7 linked regions of the Oryzias latipes genome follow. The main gene of each other region encodes a partner of the protein of the gene in region 5 in a complex. Links are inferred from orthologs where the notes say so. Each region holds a gene or a part of one and is shown on either strand. Other genes may lie near its edges.

Evidence for each region.
Region 1: med1 (region 5) and ccnc share a complex: the UniProt entries of both Homo sapiens proteins name them as parts of the mediator complex. The link is inferred for Oryzias latipes from reciprocal best matches to the Homo sapiens genes MED1 and CCNC.
Region 2: med1 (region 5) and mediator of RNA polymerase II transcription subunit 26 share a complex: the UniProt entries of both Homo sapiens proteins name them as parts of the mediator complex. The link is inferred for Oryzias latipes from reciprocal best matches to the Homo sapiens genes MED1 and MED26.
Region 3: med1 (region 5) and med4 share a complex: the UniProt entries of both Homo sapiens proteins name them as parts of the mediator complex. The link is inferred for Oryzias latipes from reciprocal best matches to the Homo sapiens genes MED1 and MED4.
Region 4: med1 (region 5) and med21 share a complex: the UniProt entries of both Homo sapiens proteins name them as parts of the mediator complex. The link is inferred for Oryzias latipes from reciprocal best matches to the Homo sapiens genes MED1 and MED21.
Region 6: the proteins of med1 (region 5) and rxra are in contact, whole or in part, in a crystal structure (PDB 1XDK), measured with the Mus musculus proteins. The link is inferred for Oryzias latipes from reciprocal best matches to the Homo sapiens genes MED1 and RXRA. Residues at the interface, in NP_001073587.1 of Mus musculus: Asn641, His642, Pro643, Met644, Leu645, Met646, Leu648, Leu649, Lys650, Asp651; in NP_035435.1 of Mus musculus: Phe282, Val285, Lys289, Phe294, Leu299, Gln302, Val303, Leu306, Arg307, Thr454, Phe455, Glu458, Met459, Glu461, Ala462, Pro463.
Region 7: med1 (region 5) and med25 share a complex: the UniProt entries of both Homo sapiens proteins name them as parts of the mediator complex. The link is inferred for Oryzias latipes from reciprocal best matches to the Homo sapiens genes MED1 and MED25.

What each region holds. Positions count from the first base shown.
Region 1 is NC_019882.2:15,128,172-15,132,423, forward strand, and holds the start of ccnc (cyclin-C), read right to left. Parts: upstream 2,801-4,252; 5' UTR 2,675-2,800; coding exon 2,643-2,674; intron 2,311-2,642; coding exon 2,204-2,310; intron 2,063-2,203; coding exon 1,978-2,062; intron 1,512-1,977; coding exon 1,442-1,511; intron 1,305-1,441; coding exon 1,253-1,304; intron 1,156-1,252; coding exon 1,100-1,155; intron 408-1,099; coding exon 372-407; intron 294-371; coding exon 202-293; intron 115-201; coding exon 47-114; intron 1-46. Other genes in the region: glial fibrillary acidic protein, read left to right, coding at 3,773-3,966, 4,046-4,211. UniProt on the Homo sapiens protein: Component of the Mediator complex, a coactivator involved in regulated gene transcription of nearly all RNA polymerase II-dependent genes.
Region 2 is NC_019875.2:6,542,674-6,546,686, reverse strand, and holds the start of mediator of RNA polymerase II transcription subunit 26, read right to left. Parts: upstream 2,801-4,013; 5' UTR 2,515-2,800; coding exon 2,443-2,514; intron 1-2,442. UniProt on the Homo sapiens protein: Component of the Mediator complex, a coactivator involved in the regulated transcription of nearly all RNA polymerase II-dependent genes.
Region 3 is NC_019879.2:14,006,626-14,010,710, forward strand, and holds the start of med4 (mediator of RNA polymerase II transcription subunit 4), read right to left. Parts: upstream 2,801-4,085; 5' UTR 2,761-2,800; coding exon 2,687-2,760; intron 2,437-2,686; coding exon 2,370-2,436; intron 1,929-2,369; coding exon 1,758-1,928; intron 751-1,757; coding exon 693-750; intron 1-692. UniProt on the Homo sapiens protein: Component of the Mediator complex, a coactivator involved in the regulated transcription of nearly all RNA polymerase II-dependent genes.
Region 4 is NC_019881.2:3,908,951-3,913,098, forward strand, and holds the start of med21 (mediator of RNA polymerase II transcription subunit 21), read right to left. Parts: upstream 2,801-4,148; 5' UTR 2,778-2,800; coding exon 2,736-2,777; intron 1,678-2,735; coding exon 1,563-1,677; intron 1-1,562. Other genes in the region: fgfr1op2 (FGFR1 oncogene partner 2), read left to right, coding at 4,098-4,148. UniProt on the Homo sapiens protein: Component of the Mediator complex, a coactivator involved in the regulated transcription of nearly all RNA polymerase II-dependent genes.
Region 5 is NC_019877.2:9,657,436-9,660,935, reverse strand, and holds part of med1 (mediator of RNA polymerase II transcription subunit 1), read left to right. Parts: intron 1-1,915; exon of another isoform or gene 1,916-2,084; intron 2,085-2,819; coding exon 2,820-2,926; intron 2,927-3,251; coding exon 3,252-3,330; intron 3,331-3,500. UniProt on the Homo sapiens protein: Component of the Mediator complex, a coactivator involved in the regulated transcription of nearly all RNA polymerase II-dependent genes.
Region 6 is NC_019870.2:22,893,963-22,897,972, forward strand, and holds the start of rxra (retinoic acid receptor RXR-alpha), read left to right. Parts: upstream 1-1,210; 5' UTR 1,211-1,496; coding exon 1,497-1,524; intron 1,525-4,010. UniProt on the Homo sapiens protein: Receptor for retinoic acid that acts as a transcription factor.
Region 7 is NC_019866.2:3,598,346-3,601,845, forward strand, and holds part of med25 (mediator of RNA polymerase II transcription subunit 25), read right to left. Parts: coding exon 3,439-3,500; intron 3,163-3,438; coding exon 3,070-3,162; intron 695-3,069; coding exon 609-694; intron 537-608; coding exon 479-536; intron 403-478; coding exon 295-402; intron 1-294. UniProt on the Homo sapiens protein: Component of the Mediator complex, a coactivator involved in the regulated transcription of nearly all RNA polymerase II-dependent genes.

The sequences.
Region 1 (4,252 bases), on a different chromosome or scaffold from region 5:
GTGAGTTAAACTGCTCTACTTTCAAAACCTAAGAGGCATTTCTTACCTAAAGCTATCATGAAGGGAGGGTAGAGCAGACACAGATCTGTCCTGTACGTGTCGTTCACTATTCGCCTGGTAAAGGCAGAAAACAATGCAAAGCCTTCCAGCGGAAAAATAAGCTAACATCAATGGGTTTTGTTCAAACGAGGCAGAACGTACCATGCTAAGGGCAGCAGCATGTCCTCCTGCCCCATGTCCTGCACATACTGCAGCAGAGGTCTGTAGGGGTGGTACACAATCAGGCAGCAGTCCTGAAAAATTAAGCCAATCAAGGATCAATTCTTCTCTCTATGAAACAACTCATCCTTTTTATCTAGATTTCCACCCACCATTAGCTCCAAAAGGTAAAACTCACATTCTAGAATCTGGGGGGAAAAAAAAGAGGTTTAGAATTATTTCAAAAAGACATTTAATCATGTTTTCACTTTGAAAATGCCCCCCAAAATTTGTGAATTCATTTTTATTTATTAAGTCTCGTCATCAGACTGGCCTTTGACCTCCTGCTGTACAGATGATGACTTTGTTTGCTTTTAACAGCTTCGCACTTCATCATTGTCACACTTTTACTAAGTGTCCAATGTCCACAAGATGAATGATGTTTACGAGTCACGGCCCTCTGCTACCTCAATCTCTGCCGTCTGAACCCCCCCCCCTCCGTAATTTATAGCTTATATAGCATTACGTCAGAGCCGTCTTGTTCTGGAAACTCTGGAGATCTGCGAGGCAAAAGCATTGAGCAGCAAGCCCCCTGACTGACTTTTTTTTTGTCAGCAGAGTGTGAACATTAGCTGAGGAATCTAACGCACTGATAGGCAGTAATGTGGCAACACTGTGATACAGTCTGAAGGCTTCTCGGTAAGCTGCAATGCAGCACATAAATAACTTTGCAGAGGAAGCAGTTTGATGTGACCTCACCTTCTTGAAACTTAAACCAGTAAACCTTGATGGCATTTACTGTTTACCGTCACATTTCTGCATCGTCAGATTTGTTCATGATTCTTAACTTTTTCATAAAATCACAGACGTAATCGGATTACTTCCACTGTGTTTTACTCACATGATTCATTCTGTAAGGAAACTCCTTTGGAAAGGCATAAGAAAATCTTGTTTTTACTACAAAAAAACAGAAGAAAAAAAATTTGTGTTGCTGGAAACTCCAAATGAAAACAGGGAAAACTTAAATTTGAGATCCACAATGTGGGTCACTTACATACAGAGGTGGCGGCTGAGATCAATCTGGTGTTGGACACGACTCCAAATTCCTACAGGAAAATAAGCAATACAAAACAGATTATCGTGTGTACTAAAGAAGCAGTTAAAGACCCTAAAATGTGTCTCACTTATGATTAAAAATGAAATGTAACATGAAATGTTAAAGATGATTCCACCAAATTTATACCTCAACTTTAGAGGCCAGGAACACACAAGTGGGAGCCATGAGCACCGGATCTATACTCTTCAGAGAATACCTGCAAAATGACACAAGGTATTTAAATATTAAACAAACAGATCATGGAAAGAAATGCTGACGACGTCAAAAAGTAAGAGTAGCCAAAGATAATCATGGCTACATGGGTAGTAAGCACAGTATAGTTAAGGGAAAGAATTTAAAACAAAAGAGGAAAGTTTTTTTTTTGTTTTTTTTGCCTTCCTAACTGTTATGCTAATGTCAGCAAAAGTAAACATTCCTTTGTTTACTCATTGATACATCATGTCGACAGCCTTTTGTTACAGGGTTCAATAAACCAGACCAACTTATCCGCTCCCGGACACAAAAGCTGTTGATGCTCTGCAGAAATGAAACTGTCATCAACACTGATGTAATCTCATTAGGGCTGCCCAATATGTTCACACTTTACCCTCCATGAGCTGTCAGCACAAACGTGTAAAATACCAACAGCTTAACTTATGGAAAAAGCGTTTCGAGCTCCTTACCGGGCGTAGAAGCGCTTAAAGTACACAGTCGCAGTAGCAATGACCTGCTGGCGCAGCTTCAGATGTTCGCCCAGAGCTTGGATAACTGAAAAATACCAAATGAAAAACATTAGTTGAAGTGTGTGATTTAGGTTTTGTTCGTGACTATTCAAGATTTTCTCATGTTTTCAAACAGACCCGGAAACAGACCCAAAACCTGCATGAATGTATTAGAAAAAAAACTCACCATTTGCAAAGAAAATCTGAAGCTTCCAGTACTCCTCCTCCGAGAGAAACTTCAGGTCTTTCTGGCGCTCCTTTATGAGGTCCTGTTTGTCCAAGACCCACTGCAGACTTTAAAAGATAAGCAAGATTACTTTATATGATAAATTTATACAGACGTTTGAACGGGTCAAATTCACTTGACTAACAGTAACAAGCTCCTGACGTGACGGCAACAAAACACAACGAAAACAAGAACCATTGCTGGAGCTCAAAGGAAAGAAAGTCCACATTTTTAGTTACAGTGTGTTCCCCAAGTGTTATTTTTACACCACAATGCTATAAGTAAACTGTTAGCTTCAACGCAGAACAAAAATAGCAGCTAGCTAGGCCTCACAAGCGAAGCGGCTGATGATTACGACAAAAACACACACAACGTCGATATTATTTTAACAAAAACTCACTAATGAGAACTCTGCCAAAAGTTACCCGCCATCACTGCAGTTGAGGTAGAAATTTACAGAAAGGAAAATTGTGTTTTTTTTAACCAACAAAAGAGCGGAGACAGCGAGAAAAGTAATTAAAGTGGCAGAGCTGGTGTATCACGAATAACGTTCCGACGAGCCCAAAGATTGGTTCCGCAGTCTCCTGTAAATGTCGGGAAACACGATTACTTCAAAGAGGGTATACTCACATGTTTTGCATGATTAAAACATTTATAAAACTAATTGTTTAAGATGCCATTTACCATGTTTAGACGTTTAAAGTAGATGTGATGAGGCTAGTATATGAGGTTTTCAAGCAACAGAAGGGAAAAAGGAAATAAAGAAAGTGGTCAAATAAACATAGCATCCTTTATTTCAAAGGGTTCATTGATTATCTCCTAAACTCAATTGAATATTAAAGCATTTGGGTAACTAGAGCTTTTATACCATATTTGTTTGTGGTTAAGTCAACTACAAGTTGTTTTTTTTTTTAATTATTTTATTTTGGCTATAGTTATTCTACATTGTGTAAAGGGTTATACCTAATATAGTCTATTAATATTAAAAAAACAAAAAGCAGCAATTAAGGACTTTTGACTTTTAGCGATTTAGCGATCAGCGATTGCAGACATCTTTTCTTTGGTCTAAACAAATTACGTAGCCCTATAGAAAAACAGGAAATTGTATTCTATTGTATTTATTTAATTTCAATTAGCCTTTCGTGAAGTCAGTGGTGTTCTGTTTTTTCAAATGTTTTACTTGTTTTTATTGTAATTAAGACAACTAAAAATCAGTTTGTATTGTTCATTTTGCTTGTACTTAACATTTGAAAGTAATGTTTAATTCAGCTTTTACTTCAAAATTAATTAAGTCCTTCATCATTCGAAGCACAATGTTCTTTCAACAGCCTATAGGCCAAATTATTTGGCTTGTTGTTGATAGATGCCTGTGCAGGCATTCATACTTGGTATGGAAGGGTTCAGCATTTCACTGTAGTGTTAGGGGAAGGGCCAAGAAGTGTATAAAGACCCCACCTCCTCAGACTGACAGAAGAAGCAAAGGCTCCATTTCCAGTTTCCAACTACAGTTGCATCAACTTAAAAGCCACCATGAGCCGAAGCCCGGAGAGGATGTCTTCATACCGCCGTTGTTTTGAGGACAACATTGCCTCAACATCCCACCTCCGGGTTTCCAGTCCTTCTCCCACCAGGAGAGAGAACCGCCACCGCTCAGCCAGCTTCAACCGAAGTGGCGGGTGGAAGTTGGGGGGGCATAGAGCACTCACCAAGCAAAAACTGACAAGGTAGGTCATCACCTCAGCCAGCTACACAAAAAGCCCACAACACAAAGCCACTTACACCATTATTTTTGGGCTCCTGCAGCAGTTCAAGTATGGGGGTCCTTTGTGTAGGTTCATCCCTGGAACCGGGGAATAAGATGGATCTGGATGTGGCTGCAGCACAAAACCAGGCCTTCAAGTTGACACGCACCAATGAGAAGCAGGAGATGGTTGTTCTCAATGATCGTCTGACAGTTTATATTGAAAAGGCAAGATACAAAGATTTACAAGTCGAATATGCAGCTTTTGC
Region 2 (4,013 bases), on a different chromosome or scaffold from region 5:
TTCGCTTTTTAAAGGATAAGTTAGCCCTGAAAGTAATACCTACGTTACAATAATACTTGAAACTTGTTGATTGCCAGCATAAAGCGGTGCTGAAACACACCACAGTACCAAACCTTCCTGAGCTTTTAGTTAAACACAACTGTATTGGGGTTTGGCTACAAAAATGACCAAAAAATCAATGAAGAAAAACCATGACAATGAAAATTTTGGATAGTATGTTGCATGTTGTGCATGTTTATGCACACAAACACATCCTAGTAATTTCACTATATCTCAATGCCACACATAAATTGGTCACTACACATGAAATTCTTCTTTAGAGGAATAAGAATTGCTGTAAACTTAAAAGTTGAGCCTCACAGTCCAAAATCTCTTAATCATCCAGACAAGATTATAGTGAATTCCTTTAATTTCTCGACCTGACTCAAGTTAATATTAAACTTTTAGGGACAGAATTGTTTAGACTGGTAAATGTAGCACCTCTAAAAAGCTGGAGTGCCTCGTTTTCTGCCTCTATTTTAAATGACAGTTTTGCTAAATCGACAACAGTTCCCCTGTGGCCTGACAGGGTTAGGGGGTCGCTGGGTAACTTTTACTGTTGTGTTGGTGAATCTCAGGGCTAAGCTAACAGCTAGCATGCTAAGGGACTGCCATGACTAACCGAGGCTAAGCTAATGGAGGTGTAGCTCGCCGTGTAGCTCTATCTATTCTCCAGAGGCACGCGCCTCTCTGTCAGGGTCAGTGGCGGTTCTACCCTGAATTACTCCCCGGGCGAGACCCTCCCCAGGCGCCCCCCCCCCCCCCCCCCCCCCCCCCCATGGTCAAAACAGAACTATGTCTTTGTCAACTAACATGTTTTCCGACATGCTCATGTTTTCCGTCTTCAATCCTTTGATTGGCACATTTTTAGTTATGACCTGTTACATTATGTTTTGTCCCCATAGAGTTGCAGTAAATGGTAAATATTCATTTTTAAAACTACCTACAGATTTATGGAAATTCTATTGGCTAAAAATATAACCCAACATTTGTAAAACAAATAAAAAATAAACTTCATATGCTGGCTCAAAATTAACCCCTAAATCCCCAGTTAAATGTCAAAAACACATTGTGAAAACGTTTAGGCTGCCACAAATGATTATTAAATTAATGACCAATCTCAAATTATTTGCCCCATTAGCATCTTATGGCAGCAGCAGCATGCTGTGTAACCATCACAGCTTTTTTAACATTATGAACTAGTATACAACAGCAAAACACAACAAAACCGTTGTGTTACAGCACAGCAGACAGACACATGAATCATAACTAATGTTACAAGTTAAGGCAGAGCAAATTTTTAAGAATAAAATCTAAAAAATCAATAAAAAATGACGCTATTTGCAACATTTGGGCTTGATAGAACGGGCTTGATGCATGTTTTAGAAAAAACATGCATCAAGCTTTGAGGGCTTCCCCTTTTCTTTATCTCTTTTCTCCTCTTCTTCTTTTCTTTTCTTTCTAAATTGGGCACCAGATGGCTTTGACCTTTTCTTCTCCATATTTTAGATGTTTTTGGCGATTGTTTGGCATAAATGTCCTCACGTCACGAAGAAGGCATCAAGTCCGTCGACTGAACCAACTGTCACCTTAGTGACAGCATTGTTTTGTGTTGCCATTTTTTCATTTGGGCATTTCACATAAAATTAACCCAAAAAAGAAGAATATATTTTTTATACCTTTATTAAAATGTAGGTTATAGAATGTCACCTTATGACTGACTTATAAAAAGGTTTTATAAAGTAGATTCAAACCCCCGCCCTTGTCCCCACCTAGCCTCTTAATTTGGAAGCGTCCCACAATTGAACTGATTCCCCGCAGCCCCCCCCCCCCCCTTTCTTCACACATTTTCAGCAGGAGCGCGTGCAGCTACAGCCAGGGGCGCTGATTCGCTACATTACTTTTATTTTTTTTATCAAGCCCGCGACCGTCGCCTCCTCTGAAAGATGAGCCAGCCAGGGTTTGCGCATGCGCAAACGCGGCGGCGCTCCGTGCTCACCCCGCGCCCCTTCCCTTCTCCTTCTTCACACACATTTGTGTCTACTTCTCAAAGACAGGAGAGCGCAGCTGCGGGGCGGCGGCGCGGCCAGGTTCAGGCTGTTACAAACTCACAAACTGTGACATAAGAAAACCAATAGTGGTGCATATAATATTTTACAAGGGCTGAGCTGCCGGTGCCGCCCCCTTCAGTTTTCCGCCCCAGGCCACCGCCCGGACGGCCCGTGCCTAGAACCGCTACTGGTCAGGGTTTTTGAAAAGTCATCTTCAACTATACTGTGACAGAAACGTTTTCCTTCAAAGTAGCACAACACGTCAAGCGTAAGCAGACGTGTTAACGTACGGAGCGTGTAGGTAAACAAGCTAACACTGGCCGGGTAGCCTGTTAGCAGGAGGAGCACTCACATTGCTCTGACTGTCGATGGCCTGGAGCAGCCGGTCCCTTATCTGCTGCGGGGTTGTGGATACCGTGGTCATTGCCTGTTTGATGCGATCCGGATGATGGAGGGAGGAATCCTCCAAAATGAAAACCGGATGACAACGATGACTTCTTGACTGCTTCACGAACACGATATGCACCCGAACCGCATGTTTCCCGGAGCTTGGAAGGTAAAAGGTTCGCTTTCCTCACATGGAGCTGGAAATGTGTGAGCGGGTTTGACCGTTTGTTCCAGTCTGACAACGGGCTCCCACAGCTCACTCCGAGGTGCTGGATCTCTCTTGGCCTCCTGTTGCATGCTGGGATACGATGCCTGCGTCATGACGTAGGCACGCGACAGAGGACACAGAGTTGACAGTTTCTCTCCACAGAGTTTTTTTTATATAACTGAAATGTTGCCTGTTCCTTAAATAAATAAAAATTATATATATCGGTCCTGCACTTAACCAACATGTGTGTGTAAATATACATAGATGAAGGAGCGATAGCTGTGTCCTAGATTTTTTATTTTTCCATATATAACACAGAATCATTTGTTTTATAATTTTGAACCAACCGTCGGGAGGTGGCAGGGGCATATTTTGGAAAATATACAGCAGTTTTGGTAAAATGTTCATTTTGTAGACATTAGATCAGTGATGTAGGAAGCTGCATTCATCTATTAATACTGTCATTTATTTCTTTTGTTATGGAATCATTATTGTTTTGAACTGTTAGTGCTATGTTTGGAAAAATGTTTATACCTAAATATTTAAATGAGTGGACTGATTTAAAATGCATTATTACTGCTGGTGGCCTTTCTCTTTGATTCTCGTTCAGCAGTAAAATGGACGATTTAGATTTATTTATGGTGTAGCTGGATATGTAACCACACTCTTCAATTAATTGCAGACGAGCAGATATAGATGAGTCTAAGTTGGAGAGATGTAAAATAATCTATACCAATCTACCTAGGCTGTGTCCCACCAAAGTGGGGTAGCCTTGACAGGGCACCCATTCTTACCGCCCTCCTTCTCTTCCCCAAACCCTCCTCCTTCAGTGTGTGCGTGTGTGCGCGTGTGTGTGTATGTGACCGGTCTAAGGCCTGGTCTAAGCCACACCACACTGCACCAGGGTCAGCTGCACAGCCCAGTGTGGGCACCTCCACAGCAGGGCCTCAGCCGAGGCTGGTTTCCCCTTGCCGCTTCATCCCAAGACCAGACCTCTACCACACCCATCCATTCATTCATACACAAACTCTCTCCACCCATCCCTGTCCTGAGCAGCCTCTCTCCCATGCACCACAGTCATCCCTCTTGCATTCAGCGCTCTTTTTACACCCTCTGTCCATCCCATTCGCGGTCTTCCTCTCATTCTCACTCCACTCACATCAGATTCGTACACATGTAAAATAATATCAATATAAAACAATATCAATGACAATCTATGTTCTACGTGATTAATCGTAATACCAGAGATGGTTGGATGAGCACGTACTGCTATGGCAAGTGGCTCTATTGCTAGAGTGAACAGCAGAGGTGACAAAGGGCATCCCTGC
Region 3 (4,085 bases), on a different chromosome or scaffold from region 5:
GTCCCTCTGACCATCACCAGGACATTCATACACATTCACACAGCAGTGGAGCTGCACTGGAGGCAAGGAGGGTGAAGTGTCTTGCCCAAGGACACAACGACAGTTGAGTGGTGGGACCAGGGATCAAACCGCCGACTCTTCGACCATTGGACGATCTGCTAAACTGCCTAAGCACCTGCATAAGCACCTGCCGCCCCATCAATTTTTAAATGAAATACCGGTTTTCTTAGCAGCTCATTTTTGTTGCAATATGAAAACCCGCCTGTTTTTGGGGATTGGGAGGGGCTGGTGCTCAGAGAGCAGGTTTTTAGAGGAAAACTCAGAAATGCATTAAAGGATCAAAATACTCTTCTGGGGTCGTTTTTCAAGAGGAATTAACAAATATAATACATAAAAAGCTAAAAATAAAATTGATTTTGCATGATATAGGTCATTTAATGAGAACCAATGTTTTTTTATGCCAAATCTTGAGTCGATACAAAAAGATGGCACAAGAGAGTAATTATTTTTTTTGGCAGAGATGAAGATGCTACCTAAAATGGAAGAAGGAATGAATTCTTTAACGAAAACCTTAAACTAAAATCTTTGAGTGTCAACGCTGAAGTCACACAGCTGCTTGAGTATCTGGATGTTACCAGACACAAAATGATACATCCAAATCCACAGACTGAAAGACAAGTGTGTTTGCTCACCTTTCTTAGCCTTTTCAATGGAAGCAAGTTTCTCCTTGGCCTGGTAAACTGCAGTGGCCTTGAAGGAGAAAAAGTCAGTTTAGATTGACAGAAGCTGCTTTCCAAGTGTGATCTTAGATCTGGATCCAGTGACCCCGTCATTCCTACACCTTTCTGTTTTAGGTGCTGGAAAAGAAGCATCATCAAAATGTCTACAATAGTTGATAAAGAATGACATTATTAGCATTAGCTGAGTCCTCAAAAGGCATGGGATGATCCTAGTGTTGGGCAACAGGGCTTGCAGTTCTCCGCGTGCCCCGTTTCACCTGGCAGACTGAGCCCACTACCCCTCCCCTTTCGTTCTCACACACGCAGCCGCGTGTGACAGGAGACGGGAGCGCGCAGCTACAGGGACAGGAATTCACAGGTTTCAGGTTGTCACAAACTCTGTGATTTTACAGACAATAGGAACCGAATAGAGGCGCAGATTTTTTCCCCAAGCACTGAGCCGCTGTCATCACCGCCCCCACGTTAAATATGAGCACCGGACAATTGTCTGTATAACCTGTGCCTAAAACCGCCACTATAGCGCGCCCCCCCCCCCGGCATCGCATCGGGGGGGCGCACCCCACTATTTGAAAAGCACTGCTTTAAACTGTTACACTTTCAGACAGTGGTGAAATTTGTAATGACCCAGATGACTAAGCAATCTTTAGATTACTTTGAACTATATTATTTAATTGACTTAGCTCTCAACATATATGTTACAAAAAAAATTATTTGTCACAGGTTTTTTTTTTTTTTTTTACAGTTGTAGTAAACTGCCAGATTTACAACACATTGAGTTAATTTTTTACAGCAAAAGATATTTAGCCTTTTAGAGTTTTTATACTTTTACTCAACAAATGCTAAAGCCAGCACAGCCATAGATCTGCTTACAGCAGCCTATATGGAGAATGCATTAGACTGGCTTAATCTGCCTATGTGCTAGAAGAATGAGGATTTCTGCTAATGCACCTGTGAATGTAACTACATCACCTTACAGCAGTATCAGATGAAGCAAAAATACACACAACCTCAACCCACCAGGATGTGCTCTGCCTCCTTCAGCTGTTTCTGCAGCTGCTGGATGTCACTGTCTCTCTTCTCCACTTCCTTTTCCAACAGTTGCATCTCCTGATGAATCTTTCCCTGCTGCTGGGCCACCTCCATCAGCTCTTGGAATTCCTTGTCCCTCTGCACCAGAAGCTCCAGGATCTGAAGACAAAACAGGCTCTCCAATAAACACAAGAAGCAGCACTGATCAGACGTCGACTGTGGCCTTTGCTTCCATGGAGACCAGCATCATTTCAAATGGCTAGAGGTGACAGTGCTGCACAGCTCAAACCCAAAACATGAAATGTTTTTTTTCTTCATTTTTTTTAAACATGGCCATATCCAAATAAATGCTGGAATATCAAGAGAGAGGCCGCCCTGATGGCTGAGGCCAAGCCTGTTGTTTTCATGTTTTTAGATGATCTGCTCCTGATGACAACTATTTAACTAAAGAAATAATCAGAAATACAATTTAAGCATACTTTTTTTTGTAAATGTCTTTTACCATCTTTAAAATGCCACAAGAACATTTTAAAAACACAATTTTCTTTGGAGTGGCTCTTTTGGAGTGTTGAACTAGAATAAAAAAGTTGTGTCCTTCACCTGTGTGTCCTCTCCTGGCTGAGGAACTTTCTGGTTTCTGGCCAGAGCCAGCATCTCGATCAGCTCCCTGAAACAGAAGAGCAGACATGGAGGATTCAGCACGAGGAGCTGTGGAGTACGCGGCACAACGGAGGCCATTTAAAGCCCCCCCGGGGGGGGGGCTTTAATTTCAAAGCGTGAACTAAGCCTCATGAGCCTTTACTCTCCACTGGACTTCTGGACTCGAATCAGGACTGTGCAGACCAAGCCGTAAACCCGCCTACTGTGTCGCTACCTAACTACAACACGGAAAACAAAATATGAGCTGTTTCCTTTACCGCGATAACACCTCCAAATCATCCAACACAGAAAGTAGCCGCTCTTTTGTTGACTTCTCTGCTGCCGCCGCCATACCTGTTTCTAAAGCAGAAAGGATATGACGTAATAAAGACTTTACCTCAAATTGTAAGTTACTGTCACCTAGTGGTGGCAAAAGGAATATCATGCTAAAAAGTACGTTTTGCCTATTCCAAGGAGGAAAATCTTAAATTATTTTTGGAACCACGGATAATAATAATTCATAGAAAAGTAATAATATTTTTTGTAAATTGTTTTACTTAAATTACTAAATAAACAGATGTAAAATGTTGATGAAAACAGCCAAATTTTGCAAAAGTTATTTCAGTCTGTGTTCTAAAGTTTTTGCAAAATGATCTAAACAATGATTACTATTTTAAAAATACTGGACAAGCTGCAGTTATTTTAGTGCATAAAGGATGTAAAATGTCTACAGGGTAAAAAAAAGGAATTATTACAATATTTTAGTAATTAGTAATTTACGTAAACGATTTAAAAGCAACTTTTTCTCTTGAACTAAATATGTAGTACGTTTATTTGCCTATTTATCTCTTTGCATACATTTTTTTAAGAATGTATTTTCCATGATAAAAGTTGTTCTGATACAATACAAAAAGCAAAGACAAAACTAGGCAACATATTGCAACAATGTTTATTAATACTAAGATTACTCTGACTTCCTGATTTTTTATTTATTTTATTATTATTTTGTTATGGGTCAAAGTGTTAATGTTAAATTCAGGATAAAATCTCATTATTTGTGTGCATTGACCCATCCCCTGGGTAGCAGTGCACTATAGCTGTGCTAAGGAACTATTTGGTAGTCTAAGTTTCTCTGACTTTGACTCAGCATGAACACACACATCCAAAGCAAGTTTGTTTTGTTGAGGCTGCCAACAGTGAGATAATAGTGAAGCTTTTTTGCAACCAGGCCACTTCCTGATTGTCAAAATAAGAGGGATTCAAAGATGGAAATGAAATGCATTTTTGCCATTGCATCTGAAAACTGCATACTGACTTCATAGGAATTTGAACCATATATGTTTGTCTTCAAGAATGAACATTTCCCCCAAAATATCCAAGTGAAAGCTTTTAAAAATTTTAGAGGCTTCATTACTGTTTTTTTTTTTTAATTTAAAACGTTTTTTAAAAAAATACTTCTGTTTTTGTGGTTGTGAATAATCTTCAGGTCAGCATATCTGTGTAGTTGTTTCTCATTTGAAACCTAATGTTCACAAAGACAAGGCTGGTCTGAAAATAAGGTGATTCAGAAAGAAGTCACTTTTTAAAAGACCCCCCCCCCCCCACACACACACACACACAGGTACACACTTTTGGCATGGTGTTTGGTCTTTAACTGTAGATCTTCTGCAAAAACAA
Region 4 (4,148 bases), on a different chromosome or scaffold from region 5:
GCATTCATGTTGTGTGTTACAGAGGAAGGAGAACGATAATAAAAGAAGGCTTCCCCCAGAATAAATGCTATAATTGACTCTTTATTAACCCGCTCTGGAGAATCTGAGGGTCCGAACGGGGAAGTTAATTCCGGAGGAGGATCTTCCTTCAGCCCTGGAGAAGATCCCCCCCCCCTGCTTCCGACCACAGTCGGAAAGAAAAAAAAGTCAGGTGGGAAAGGTTCAACACCACGCTCGGCCATTTTGCTGGAAATATTTTCAAAAACTGCCCGGTTGCGATAAGAGCCCTGGAGTTTGGCCTGAATGGAGCTGTCACCCCAAATATGAATCCAATCGGTGACCTCGCTTCCCTTCCACTGACTGGTCTCAGCAGCATCGTCCGCCATGGTTGATGTTTATCTTCTGGTTCCGCCTACTTCAACGCAGAATTATGACGTTTGAGAACGTATCAATGAGGTACGGGTCGGATTCATGTGGCCTGGCCGTTCAGACGGAGGTCGCATTTGAAAAGATCGGATACGTATTGGATTCAGGACCACATACCCAAGTGGCCTGGTTCACATTTGAAAAGATGGGATCTGTGTCGTTCAGACTGTCATGAAAAGATCAGATACAGGTCGCATGGGGGAAGAAAATCAGAATTGGGTCGTTTCAGCCTGCAGTATGAACGAAGCCAAAGTTACCTTTTCAGCTAATGCAAAACTGATAAAAACAGCCACTAACTACATGCTTTTTCTGCTAACATAAACATATGCCTATTTAGTTTCACTTAAATAAAAGAAGTATGACAAAAATAAATGAATCTTTATGAAATTTCACCGTTTATTCCTGTCCCTCAGTTTTGTTCAACCCGTAACAGCCTATCAATCCCCCTTTAAAAAAAAATAATAGTTCAGTCCAACTTCTTCAGCAGCCAGGAAGTGACATCACTGAATATTTTCCTGCTCATACTCTGAAGACAGGTAAGTATTAGCCTCCTTTCTTACCCATATTTCATAGTTTCTGTTGTCAGATTGACTTTGTCAAGCTCAACCTTTCAACTCTGTTAAATTAATAAATGATATTTACTATTGTTTGGGAAAAAGCTAACGATTGCTTTGAAATATGTATTAAATTCTTGTTTTCCTCATGCCATATGTAGCTTCATATCCTAGCTAATGTAGACACGTGACAACTTCAACCTCGTAATATTCTACTCCGTAACAAAACACACTGTCACAGTGACAAACTTTCTAACAATTTGGGGGATTTCATGTCTAAAGTGGGAAAACATCTTTTCTCAGAGGTTTAAATAGTCCTTAATCTGATGTAATGTTAAGAAACACACATTTTTTAGGTAAGATTTTCAATTACCAATGTGCACCGAATTCAGAGAATGACCCGTCTAGCCCCTGATATCAATCATGTCCCAATATCCAACGGCATCGAAGGCCCACCCCAACGTAAAATGAGGCTGTACTCCGAAAGTGAAAATTCAGAATTGAAACTGTAAACCGAGGACTGAAGGTGAAGAGCAGGCGGCGACCCAGTGGGTCTTTAGAGACAGTCGGCGTCAGACTAACCTTCAGTGGGGTTGGCCGGCTGGTCCTTGTTGATAGCGGTCTGGATGTTGCTGAAGGACGCAGGGGGAGCAAATTGTTGCAAAACACCGATGGCGTTACAAAACTGATCTGCAAGCTGCCCACGCAAAAGCAGAACACACAGTTCAGACCGAGCTGAAGCCGACCTGCACCACACATCCCGAATAGATTCATTTTATGTTTGAAACACAGACAGAAAGGTCAAAACAATCAAGCTTGGATTATAACAAAGCACAGCAGGAAATTCTACTCATTGGAAATGAATGGATATTATATTAAACATTTCATTTTAAAAACATTTTTGGTATAATTGTCTTCCATTATTCTTTATCTGGCTGTATGCAAATATTTCAAGCATTTTCAGCAAGATTTTGGTTTTATTTAAGACGGTTAAAATCTTTCATAGAGAAAAGAGAATTATGAAGTAGTACACTTCTTGTAAGTTAGAATATTTTTAGGTTTTTGCTCCTTCTTCATGTAATCATATGTATTATGCCCTTCAGGCATTTATTTCGAAATGTCATGAAGATTAAGTGTAGGGGTTGGAGTGCCTGAAGTTCAATATTGTCATATGTTATATACATATGTATATCTTTAGTCCATATGCTAGTAAGAAATGTCATCCGGCTGACCTAAACAATAACAGAACGGTTGGCCTGTACCACCACACATCATGATTCCTATAATATTCCAGCTAAATGAGCAAACAAGCTGCTTAGTGCTTTCAGGAGTTTCCTGATAGAGCTACACTAAAGGATGGCTAGCATGCTAAGAACAAATGGGACTCTAACTTTGTTTGACAGCATATTTTGACCGGCAGGATTAGGATAAGTCTCAAAACGAACAATTTATAGGGTAACTTCCTGGTTTGGGTACCTTTTTAAATAATTTCCACTTCCTTTCATGCGTCTTCAACTTTAATTCCAATCTACTTCAGCATTTTGGCAAACAGCTTCAGCAAACACCAAGTAAGTAATGCTATTTATTAAGTTAGCATTAGCATTGTTAGCTGCTGTGATGTTACGCCCTCAGTAAATAAATTAGGAAACAACTTCCATTAAAACCTATATATAATGCACATTTCATATTTAAATGTATATGTGACAGTCTTTCTATATCACAATTTTTGTCAAATATTTAACATTTTTATTTTACCGAGTTGACAGCATCTTGTAGTTGCGTTAGCCGGTCCGCCATATTTACCTGTATTTGACAAAAGTCCGTCGTCAACTATCGCGAGAGCATTGACAAAATCTCGCAGAAATTGACGTCATTTCGGAAGACAAGATAGCTAAAGAAAGTTAGCCCGTCAACAACCTTAAACCTGTTATTTTAGACTTGAATACCATAGAGACTTTTGCGAAATTCATTTTTTGTACTTTAGTATATTTTTTTATGTCTTAAAGAAACAAAGTTTAAGTTTAACGTATAATCCGATATTCGTGTTAGCATAAGCATGATGTTGCTATTCTGAGCTACAACATAAAATATCAGGAAGAAGATCTATTTTCTGGTTGCACTTTGAACTCTTCAGGTAAGACCACTTCAGTGTTAAATTAAGACACCTTTACATGCTTTGGTACACTGTTTATGAGGTACGTTTGTATGTTTTGTTGGAAAATTTGTCAGGATTTAGAGAGCAGCTTCGTTAGTTGTAACTACTTTACTACTACGTAAGCAAAGACATAATTAGCTGTTTGTTTCTGCTTGCTTAATTTTTTTGTCATAAGAAAGTATATTTCATGATCATAAATCTCCTGCAGTTCGACATCCTCTTTTTTCCCCTTTTAAACTGTGACACATTCGTTAACATCCTGCTTTAGTGGGTGAGCAGGAGGGTCATACCCGGTAAAGTTACATTGTTTGGTGGTGGCAGTGTGATGGTATGGGGCAGCATCTCCTGCTCGTTATTACTGGAGGAAATCTTGATGTAGAAGTTATACATCGAATTCTGCTAAAATAAATATTTAGTGTGTTTTTAAACCTGAATTACCCAAACACGACATTGGCAAAATTAGATGCTTAGCAGCGAATGTTCAACCAGTCATGATGGGTGCATTTCATAAACGGAGCTACGTATTCCCTTAAACTCTAAACAAAGATTTAAGATAAGTATTGTAACTAAAAAGTAATCTGCTTAAAACCAATTTCCCTGCTTTTTGTACTGTTTACATCACTTTCTATCATTTAACTTTCCATCTTAAATCTGTAAGACGCTGAGTATCTTAACGCTAATGTGTAAGTAAATGAAAAATGCAGGGATCTACTACTCTTTACTTCCAGATGTTCATTACTCACCACAGTAATTAGGTTTTTATCTCACTAAAACTGAACAAACAGAAAGCAAAAGAGTAAAACAGTTTTATGAAGGAAATTGCCCAATTTGTTATATTACTTACAGACTTGAACTCGATGTTTTTTTTCTTCTTAAGTTTTCACATTTCTTTAAAACCAGATTGATATTTTCTAAAAAATGTCCTGCTCATCGATTTTACTTTAATGTTTTCCCCTTTAGACATGAACTGTACGTTAGAGAAAGTCCTGGCAGATGCTAAGTCCTTGGTAGAA
Region 5 (3,500 bases):
TAGAAAGGACTGAGGAAGGTAGACAGGAGTACAAGGAAGCGCAGCGTAAAGTGAAGAGAGAGGTGGCAAAGGCCAAACAGAAAGCTTACGATGAGCTATATGACAGGTTAGACACAAAGGAAGGAGAGAAGGACTTGTACAGGCTGGCCAGACAGAGAGACAGAGATGGGAAGGACGTGCAACAGATAAGGGTGATTAAGGACAGAGATGGAAAGGTGCTAACAACCCAAGAGAGTGTACAGAAAAGATGGAAGGAGTATTTTGAGGAGCTGATGAACGAGGAAAATGACAGGGAAAGAAGGGAGGAAGATGTGGTTGTTGTGGAGCAGGAAGTAGCAGAGATTGGAAAGGATGAGGTTAGGAAGGCTCTGAAAAGGATGAAGAGCGGAAAGGCCGTTGGTCCTGATGACGTACCTGTGGAGGTATGGAAGTGCCTAGGAGAGACAGCAGTGGAATTTCTAACAAGGTTGTTCAATAGGATTTTAGAGAGTGAGAAGATGCCTGAGGAATGGAGGAGAAGCGTTCTGGTCCCAATCTTTAAGAACAAGGGTGACACGCAGAACTGCAGCAACTATAGAGGAATAAAGTTGATGAGCCACACAATGAAGCTGTGGGAAAGAGTAGTGGAAGCCAGGCTTAGGAAGAAGGTGGAGATTTGTGAGCAGCAGTATGGTTTCATGCCCCGTAAGAGCACCACTGATGCCATTTTTGCTTTGAGAATGTTGATGGAAAAGTACAGAGAAGGTCAGAAGGAGCTGCATTGTGTGTTCGTAGATTTAGAGAAGGCGTATGACAGGGTGCCGAGGGAGGAGCTGTGGTACTGTATGAGGTCGTCTGGAGTGGCAGAGAAATATGTTAGAGTAGTTCAGGACATGTATGAGAGAAGTATGACGGTGGTGAGATGTGCTGTAGGTCAGACAGAGGAGTTCAAGGTGGAGGTGGGACTACACCAAGGATCAGCTTTGAGTCCTTTTTTGTTTGCTATGCTGATGGACAGGCTGACAGACGAGGTAAGACAGGAATCTCCCTGGACAATGATGTTTGCGGATGACATTGTAATTTGCAGTGAGAGTAGAGAGCAGGTGGAGGAACAGCTAGAGAGGTGGAGGTTTGCTCTGGAAAGAAGAGGTATGAAGGTCAGTCGTAGTAAGACAGAATACATGTGTCTGAACGAGAGGGATCAAGGTAGAAGTGTTAGGTTACAGGGGGCTGAGGTGAAGAAGGTGCAGGAGTTTAAGTACTTGGGGTCAACAGTTCAGTGTGATGGGGATTGTGGAAAAGAGGTGAAGAGGCGAGTGCAGGCAGGTTGGAGCGGTTGGAGGAAAGTGTCAGGAGTGTTGTGTGACAGAAGAGTGCCAGCAAGACTCAAAGGAAAGGTGTACAAGACAGTGGTGAGACCAGCTCTGCTCTATGGGTTAGAGACGGTAGCAGTGAGACAGAGACAAGAGGCTGAGATGGAGGTAGCGGAGATGAAGATGTTGAGGTTCTCCTTAGGAGTGACCAGGTTAGACAGGATAAGGAACGAGTACATCAGAGGGACGGCTCATGTTGCCTGTGTTAGCGACAAAGTCAGAGAAGCCAGACTGAGATGGTTTGGACATGTTCAGAGGAGGGATAGTGGATATATTGGTAGAAGGATGTTGGAGATGGAGCTGCCTGGCAGGAGGGCAAGAGGACGGCCAAAGAGGAGATACATGGATGTCTTAACAGAGGACATGAAGTTGGCTAATGTTAGGGTAGAAGATGTCCATGATAGAGTGAGGTGGAAAAGGATGATTCGCTGTGGCGACCCCTGATGGGAAAAGCCGAAAGAGAAAGAAGAAGAAGAGTATATTTGTAAGAAATTAGGTTATCTAGTAAGAAAACGAAAACACCATTATGATCCTCATAGTTAGTAGTAGAAAAAATCACGTACCTCTCTCAGGAGCGCCGAATATGTTGAAACTGACTTTATGTCCAGTAGGAAGAAAAATAGTCGTCATTTCCGTTGTGCTGAGGAGGTTAATATTGATATGCTGCGGCTAATGCCGTCGCGCTGTGGTTAATGCCGTTGTGCTTCGGGTAATGCCGTTGTGCTTCGGGGAATGCCGTTGTGCTTCGGGTAATGCCGTTGTGCTTCGGGTAATGCCGTTGTGCTTCGGGGAATGCCGTTGTGCTTCGGGTAATGCCGTTGTGCTTCGGGTAATGCCGTTGTGCTTCGGGTAATGCCGTTGTGCTTCGGGGAACGCCGTTGTGCTTCGGGTAATGTCGTTGCGTTGTCTTTTTTGTATGTAGTGTGAGCTCTGTCGGCCACCGTAGGTTTATATTATTAAAGCTTTTCACAAATGCTCATAGTTTCTTTGGTTACATAAAGAACAGACGCTTTAAATATTTCTCCCTTAGAAAGCAACGTGTCATTTTAAAATGTCATTACTTTTAGCTGAGCCTAAACAAAACAAACTGCTGACCTAAGATTTCAGTAGATGCTCTTCTTTGTATGTAAATATACTGACATTTTTTAGAGGTGATAAATTGGGAAATTACTTTTGACTATTTTTTAGTTGCATTCTACAGCAATAAAATATTTGTTATAACTAAGGGTTTAAGCCTTTGTTTAAAGAAGGTATATAGTGATACTACCTGACTATTAACTGCCTAAAAAAATACAACTCAACCTTTTTATGAAAGTAATCAGGTTATGTTGTCCTTTATAAGATATATAATCAAAGTTTTGTATTTTTTAATCTGTTTTTTTTTTTAGGAAAAAAATAAATCCAATGTGTAAAGGAAAAACAGGTCAGTCATTATAGGCTTAACTGTATTCTGTTTCTGTCTTTTAGAGGCAGAAAAGCAGAGTCGAACGGTTGCTCTGTTAGAGAGACTTCATGCTAAACACAATGCTTCCCGACCATGGCAGGAAACATGCAAAGTTGTGCGTCAGGCTATGGTAAGACAGATATTCTATTATTTTCCAATTTTCCCACAATATTATACATACTATAAAAATATTTCTAGATTACTGCACATGCTCAGAGTGCAGTAAAAGTTCATTTACAGCCTGTTAGTGTTCTTAGTTAAGTATGTAATAACAAGCACAAAACAGCTTAAAGAAGTTATTTCTTTACTGACCTCCCTTGGTGACATTTAAATGTCAGACCAAGAGTGCTGGCTACGCAAATTAAAAGCAAGCCCGATTTGGTTGTATAAAGCATAATCATTAATTTCAACATTTTATTCTTTTTTTTCCTCTCCTTACTCGTGTTGTGCCTCAGGAGAAACGCGGTGTGATGAATGCGGCAGGTCACCAGCTCCTGCTTAACTGTTTGGAGACCCTGCAGAGAGCACTAAAAGGTGAGGGTCCCGTCCCACAGTGCAAAAAGAAAAAGAATGAATAGCTAACGTCGCAATTCTTTCATAATGATTGTTTTGTCTCTTAATCGGTAAAGCCGTGAAGGCTTCAGACAATTACTTTTTCACTTCAGCTTTATATTTTCCTCCAATTATTTAACTTACGGGTGAAA
Region 6 (4,010 bases), on a different chromosome or scaffold from region 5:
GGCTGCAGCCAACACCAGCTTCCATTAGGCCAACGGGTCACTACATCCTGGACAGGTCACAGTGCAGGCCACCTCAGAACCAACGACAAAAGTAAACAAACAGCCACACATACCCACACTGTATCAGTATAAGTGTGTCGATCATAAATGTGCCAAGCTTGTAATCCTTTGAAAAATGTAACTGATATTTCTTTTTTGTTGAACCTTAGGGGGGAAGACAGTAACCTGATAAAACAGTCCATACTCGTGCAAGGCGTCACTATTATCCAAGTTGGTATAAGCTTTGGAATACTATACAAATGACCCAACTGTTCTTATCTGTGAGTATTACCTTTGCAAAGTGAGCAATGAATATATCATTTTGTTTTGTAGTGTTCCTGCACCCAGTTTCACTGAAGCTGTTTTGAATAGCAGATAGTAGATCAGATTCAAATGTTATCAAAACAGACATGTTGTGACATATGTTTTTATGATCTGGGATCTTCTGGAGAAAAAAAAAAAAAAAGGTTGGACTTAGGGCAGAATTTGGCCAGCCAACCCACGAGGAATAAGTAGAATATCGGGGCAAGTCTGTGTGGAAATCATGCTATCATCACATCGGTTCAACTATCCATATATATATAGACTATTTTGATCTATTTCATACGGTTTTTGTTGAAGTTCTTCTCACAGGACCTTCTGCATTTGCTTGGCTTAGGCCTGGCACAAGTCTGTCTATTTGACCATCTTTCTGTACATCCACCCTTGTGTTTTATTGTCTTTTATTTTATTTAGATAGATTTTTTGTCTGTTTTGTGTGGGTTTTTTTGTAAATTTTATTTGTTATTATATGATATTCTTAAATATATAATATTTCTTGATATACATACATTTATACATACATCTTTCTGGGGGGGACAGTAACTCCGTTTAGGGGGGGCATTAACCCCCTTCCCCCGTCCATACCTATGTCCGGGCTTGGATGGACTCATCTTAGATAAGAGGGGAGGCAGTTAAAAAGTCTATCTGTTAAGCTAATAGCGCAGCTGTAACACGTGTGACCAGGTTAAAACAACAGAAGATAAAAAGAAGGAAGGAGTTGAAGGGATTTTTTGGCGAGAAGCTGCGCATTTCTGTGAATGTGTTTGGATTTCTGAAGTTCTCAGCGAGCCTCACATCTGTGTTTGTCGTGTCGCTGCGGGCCTGTGCGCGTTGGTGGGAGTACCCCCTGCGCAGGTCCCCTTCGCTGTGCACTTCCAGCAGTTGGAGTTGTTCTACACCCGAGAGAGGGGGAGGCAGCAGAGGAGTGAGCGCAGCAGCTGAGTGAGCAAACACAAGTAGAAACATTAGGTTATCTTCTGACACTATCAGCCATCGACCTGTCACTTTTATCGCTCCGTGAAGCTCCAGAGCGGTAGCGGCGGCGGCTCCTTGGTCTGGTTTGTTCTGCTCGAGCAGTGAGACAAACTCCCGAACGCGGTCGTCTCAGCTGGCATGAGCTAACCTACGAGTCCGACATGGAAACCAAACCGTTCCTGTCATTGGGTAAGTTACTTTGTTTCTTACAGACCTACTTAATGCCGAAGAAAAGACAGCGAGAAACGTGCTGGGGCTCAGGGTTTTCGCTTCGTGGTTTCTTTCTTTCTTTTTTTCTTGACAGCGCGTGGAGCGACTTGCCAAACCCCATCAACACGTTTGTTGCTGCCGCTGCTGCTTTGTGTAATTTGCCCTCTCTTTAACTTCTAATTTATCCCTTTATCGAAACGGACAGATGTGCGGGTCTCGTGCTTTTTAATTGAGCTGGTGACATTTCACTTCGACGCGGAGTGACAGCGCTCGCGGCGTGGCGCGCGCGCACCTCGCGGCTCGTTTAACTTTTACACTTTGGTTAAGTGTTGAGAGATTTTGTGTTTTAATGCTAAAAAAACAAAACAAAAAAACCTCGAAGCTAAACTTAATTTTCTTGTGCCTGTTTATACCAACCGAACTTCTAAGAACAAAGGGAGATTAACTTTACATCGTGACTTTAAAATGTTTCCTCTTGAGGATATGTGATTTTTTTACATTAAACATACAACAAAATTACAAGCCTTTTTTATTTGATATCATTTTTGTTATTGATAATTTTAACTTCATTTCTTTTTTATTTATTATTTGCTTACTTGGCATATAATAATTTGTCAATATTGCACAAACTTGTAAATTGCACCCAAAAGTGACCTCATGCGTTGTTGCTTGACTTAAAGTCTGCTGTTGGGGATAATCTCACTTCAGTTGCTGACAGGTGACCTATGGTCATTGCGCAAGACTTTCATTTTTGATTTTCTTTTTACATTTAAATATATTAATGAATTAATCTTAAGGAAACCCACTGTTTTGTTGAAGCTGAACCTGCAAGAAGGGGGGATTTCAATTGTCAAATTGGAGATTTTTAGCATGCTTTTTGATTTTTCTGAGTTACAAAATTCTTTTTTATTAGATATGTATTACTTCTTATAACTCATTTCTGGGATTAATTCTGAAATCTAGTCTTGTTGAAGTTAAAAGCAGTTTAAATACACTAAAGCACTTCAAACTGTAAATCATTAATGCTGACTGCTACTGTAAGTTTGTGAACAGAGCAGACCCTTGTCCTCCGCAGCAGAGACAAGCGCAGGGCTGTAGGTTTCCCCCCGCCTTATTGTGTCTGCGGCTCTTTCATGGAGGCGTCATGTTACACCTCGACACATATCATCAGCTGCATGAACACACCGAGGAGATTCACAGGGACTTCTGAGACTCGGGGTGGCTGTCTTAGGTTACAGGCGCTGCTCGCTGACTCAGTCCCACAACACCCTTTATGTGGCTTCACAGAAATACACTCAACCACCTGCACTGCACACACTGACAGGCTGTTGTTACAGGTGCAACACATTGTATTTCAGACTGCGCACATTAGGGGTGTATCAACTTAATCGATGAATCAATCCTACGATCCAACCAGATCAATCTTTTTGAAGGAAGTCGTTAGTTGTATCGACCTTTACCCTCATACTGTAATTTTTAAAGACAAAAATCGATTATATCGATATTGGAAAATACCATTTCGATTGAGACATGGTAGGTTTATTTTACTACAACGTAAAAACGACCGAATGCATCAGAGCAGACAATGCACACGTGATGGCAGCAAAAACTTGTCAAGCCATCGTTACAGTCCAATGTGTGGAAACACTTTGAATTTAGCAAAGACATGTGACATAACATTGTGGTTTAATGCTCTAATAATGTTCCCTTTGGACTATTTTAATGTGGTAAAACAGCAGTGGGCTCAACTTAATTAAATTAAACTGTGAATGGATTTGACATTGATTCTTGTTTACTTGATTGTTTGTACACATATTTAATTTACACTTGATTATCTTGCATGTAATATAAGGAATCTAGAAAACTTCACCTGGACTGTTCAGTACCCGTATTTATCTCAGAGTCCTACTGGTTGAAGTTCTGACGGAAAATGTTCTGGATTGATTTCAGATCAGTGAATTGGACTGTTTAAAATGAACCAGTATCGACTATGAATTGAAACTGCAACAACAAATTACGATATAGATCAAATTGTTTTTAAAATGAATTTTTACACCCCTAATATTTAAACTTGTACCCTTAAAGGACAGTTTGAGTGGCAGGCTCTAATTGGTTGTTTTAAGGGCGCAGCCATGCGTGAAGACCTTGAATTTATTGATTACTGCTTACTCAGTGTCATTTCCTAATGTGGCGTTGCATTAGGAATTCTGACATGGATCTGTTTGAGATGACATTACAACTATAGACCGCGTGCTGGCTTTGATGACGACACCTCCCATCCAGCACCGCTGGCTCAGGACTGTGTACTGCCTGCCTGATGCCATCATCGAGCACCCCCCCCCCTTTCATATCGGACATTAAGGCATGAAGACCAGAGGAATGACACTGAAAGGAGAATGTGTCCTTTAGTCACAGCATTATGGGGAGGATCATGACAGTTTGTCAGTGAAATGAACAGTGTGAAA
Region 7 (3,500 bases), on a different chromosome or scaffold from region 5:
TCAACACGACAAGGTTTTGTGTTCAGTCCACCTTGTGGACAGAAACAGGATTAACACTCCTAGAAAAGGATCCTTAACAGCCTCACTTCTTTAAATCATAAAAAAGGAAAAGAAACGCTCTCAATTAAATGCATTTCTCTAACAACATTTCAAAAAAATGCAAAACCTTTTGAGTGAATTCTAACAGAATACATGTTATCATTCAAAAGCTGCATGAAGGTTCTGTAAAACGGATAAACTGAGACCACGAATACAAAATGGAAAAGAGATGGAGAAGAGGCTCTGAAGACGTACAAAACCGTTTGCCATAATGCGATAGAGGCCTCTCAGCGAGTCCAGGTCTTTGTTTGTGAAGAGGAACTGAACCATTCGGGAGTTTCTGAACAGGGGACCTAAGGTGGTCTGCAGAAAGACAGAAGCAGACGATGAAGCTGAGAGCGAGGCTGAGACTGCAGACACCACCAAACGGCGAACTCACGAGTAACTGCTGTGGGATCAGCTGCATGATGAGCTTCTGTGGCCACTGTTCTGTGTTGCTGTTGAGAGAGAAACATGTCAGCAGCAACAAGCCACAGATGGAGTCGTGGTGTTTCTGCTTTGCTGCTCACAGATTTTCTCCTTGGTTAACGTGGACCTGACAGGGCAGGGAGCGGGTCAGTTTGGTGGCTGAATCCATAGACGAGGCTTTGGGTTTCTGTGGGAAGAAAAAGCAGAAGAAGTGAACATTAAAAACGTTCCTGAGGCCCAAACGAGGACGACAGTAATGTTTACACCAAAAGATTTAGTAGCAGAAGCAAAGAAAAAAAAAAGAAACGGAGGCTTCAAGTCACGCTGAGAGACCTGCAGCTGATCGCAGCTCTGGTCAGTCTTTTACCAGAGACCTCCATCAACATTTATTCCAACAAAGACACACGGGGCATTTATTAGAAGATGAAAGAAAGAAAACAACAAACAGGTGCTGACTAAAACCCAACCGGAAAGCTTGACAGATTAAGAAAAAAACTTTCAACATACTTTAGACACGACTGCAGTCTGTGGAAACTCCCAGCATGCTGGCATCTCTGGTTTAACCAACTACTATGTTCTCCAGATGAGTTTCAGATTCTCCATTTCAAGCCTTTCCAACATCACCAATAGCTCCAGCAAATAATCACGTCCAGAAGCTAAATGCAGGAAGATGATGAGCTAAATGCAGGAAGAAGTGGCAGATCAGGAGCGATGGCTCACGCTCCTCATGCGCCACGGTTGTTTGCGTCTTTCCACAGATGGAGCTCGTCCAGGGCTACTCATTCTTAGTCCAATTCATTTACCTGACTTCAATAATTCTGACAAACAGATGAGGAGGATCAGGCTGCTGCTGATGAGGAGAATTGATCCATCCTTGGCCACCATACAAAAGCATGAAGACCTCATGAGTGTCGCATAAAAGCCATCAACATCCATTTTCTGGGTTCAGCGCTGCAACTGTAAACTCCATTGACTTGACCTCATGCTAAACCAATACGAGCGGTGACGAGCAATGAATCAAAGTGTAGGGAAATCCATCTCGGGTGGTTATTAAGACTTATGACCTTGATGGGGCTCTGCAGGAAAAGAACCGGAAAGGCAATTAAGCAAAAGGAAAAAGCTTAGGCTCCAAAATTTGAGGAGAATTTTGTCTAAAAAGAAGAAAAAATGACCTAAAAACCTCTACTTGGAACCCAAAAATGTCATCCAGCAAACATGCTGCAGAAACCCTTTGCGTTTCTGCTGGCAGAAGCGCTCAAACCGTTTCACACATAATGTAACGTCTACCTCCATTCGTACCATTGACTGCACCATTAACCATTGACCACTGGACTGAGGGACTCCTCCCCCAATGGACTGAATGACTCCTCCCCCCGGTGTTGAAACAGGAAGTGGTTCCAAGAAGCTAAAATCTCACAGCCTTCCATTCAGAAATAAACAGCTATTACTTAGTCATCATATTAGTCAGAATGCTCTGATACAGTTTCTCAACATGTTCTTGATAATCCTAATACATTTTTTATGATATTTTTTTATTGCAGGTTATTTAAAGAATAAACTGACCAATCAGATGCCGACTCAGACTGACTGACCAATCTCTGCTCACTGACGTTATCTGGCTCCAACATGGCAGCTGAATTGACTTTATTTGGTGGGAGCCGGAAGCTATGTCGATGATTTGTACCCACAGCTAGAGCTGTGACGGTGTGGGAATTTTGATCGCCGCGGTGATAAAGCACCAATAGTCGCGGTGTCTGGACTCTTGCGACCCCCCACCCCCACGCCAAACACAAAATCCTACAGCGGGCATCGCGCATCCAAGAACGCACGCAGCTTGTAATGGAAATGAATACAAGGGAAATTCCCCCAGGAGCCTTTGACGTTTGAACACAGGACTCGCAGAAAAAGTAAATTTTAGCAAAGATGAATGTGTTTTTTGTAGTTTAAATCACGCACCATGTGTAGAACTTAAAAAAAACAACATAGAAATGAGGTGATAAGATGATCATCGCGGTGATGCGGTTATCGTCACACCCCTCCCTACCCACAACCATCGATTTGGTCTGAGGTCAGAGGTCATGGGCATCCTGACTTCTAAAGACACTTTTGATCTCCAAAGGCAAAGACAGGAGCAGGTTAGGAACCGCAGCGAGCGGCTAAGACCAGAAAACCCAACTTAAGTTCAAACAAGATCACAAAAAGCTGAACAGGAAGTTGCCAGGATTAAAGACTCGTCTTCTGCAGTTCCATATTTGGACTGTGAGTCAAAAAGGAGATAAACAGCATGAATTCATTTAGGTGCCATAAAGTCACATCTTTGCTCATCATTCTGATGGTTATTTAACCTTAAGCTTTAGAGGCGTGTCTTCACAAAATAAAAACAACTTAAAACCTTTCAGGACTCATTTACTTTGCACAATCCAACATGCAAAGACTTTTCTTTTAGGCGTACAAATATTTATGCTGACACATCTTTATTTACCTGGGAACAGGTTAAAAAGTATTTTTCCTGCAAAATGATAAACAAACTGAATTTCCTCTGTGTGATGTTATGTTTTTTACCTCTTGCCACTCCAGGACGCCGGTCCACGCCACGACTTTGTTTGCCACACTGGAGGGCTGTACAATGGAATTTGCATTTCCTTGACCGGCAGCCTTAAAAAAAAAAAAGAAGTTTGGGAATTTAATTCCACAGGAAAACATCAAACGGTCAGAAAATAATAACTTTCCGACAATTTTATCAAATATTTTCATTTTCTTTTAAAAGTCAAATCTGATCTGGGTGGAAGAAGCCAACGCTCCCGTCTTGTTTGGATGCCTCTGCAGATCAGCACATAAGAGCTGACTGAGCAGCCGATACTAATGAGAACGACTGACACCAATGGGGGAGTCACAACCACCTCACTGGGACACTGGTTTATCCTCTTTTACCATGTTGGGCTGCCCTGATGGCGCCGTGGGCTGGTTGGCCGATTGCTGTTGCTGAAGCGGCG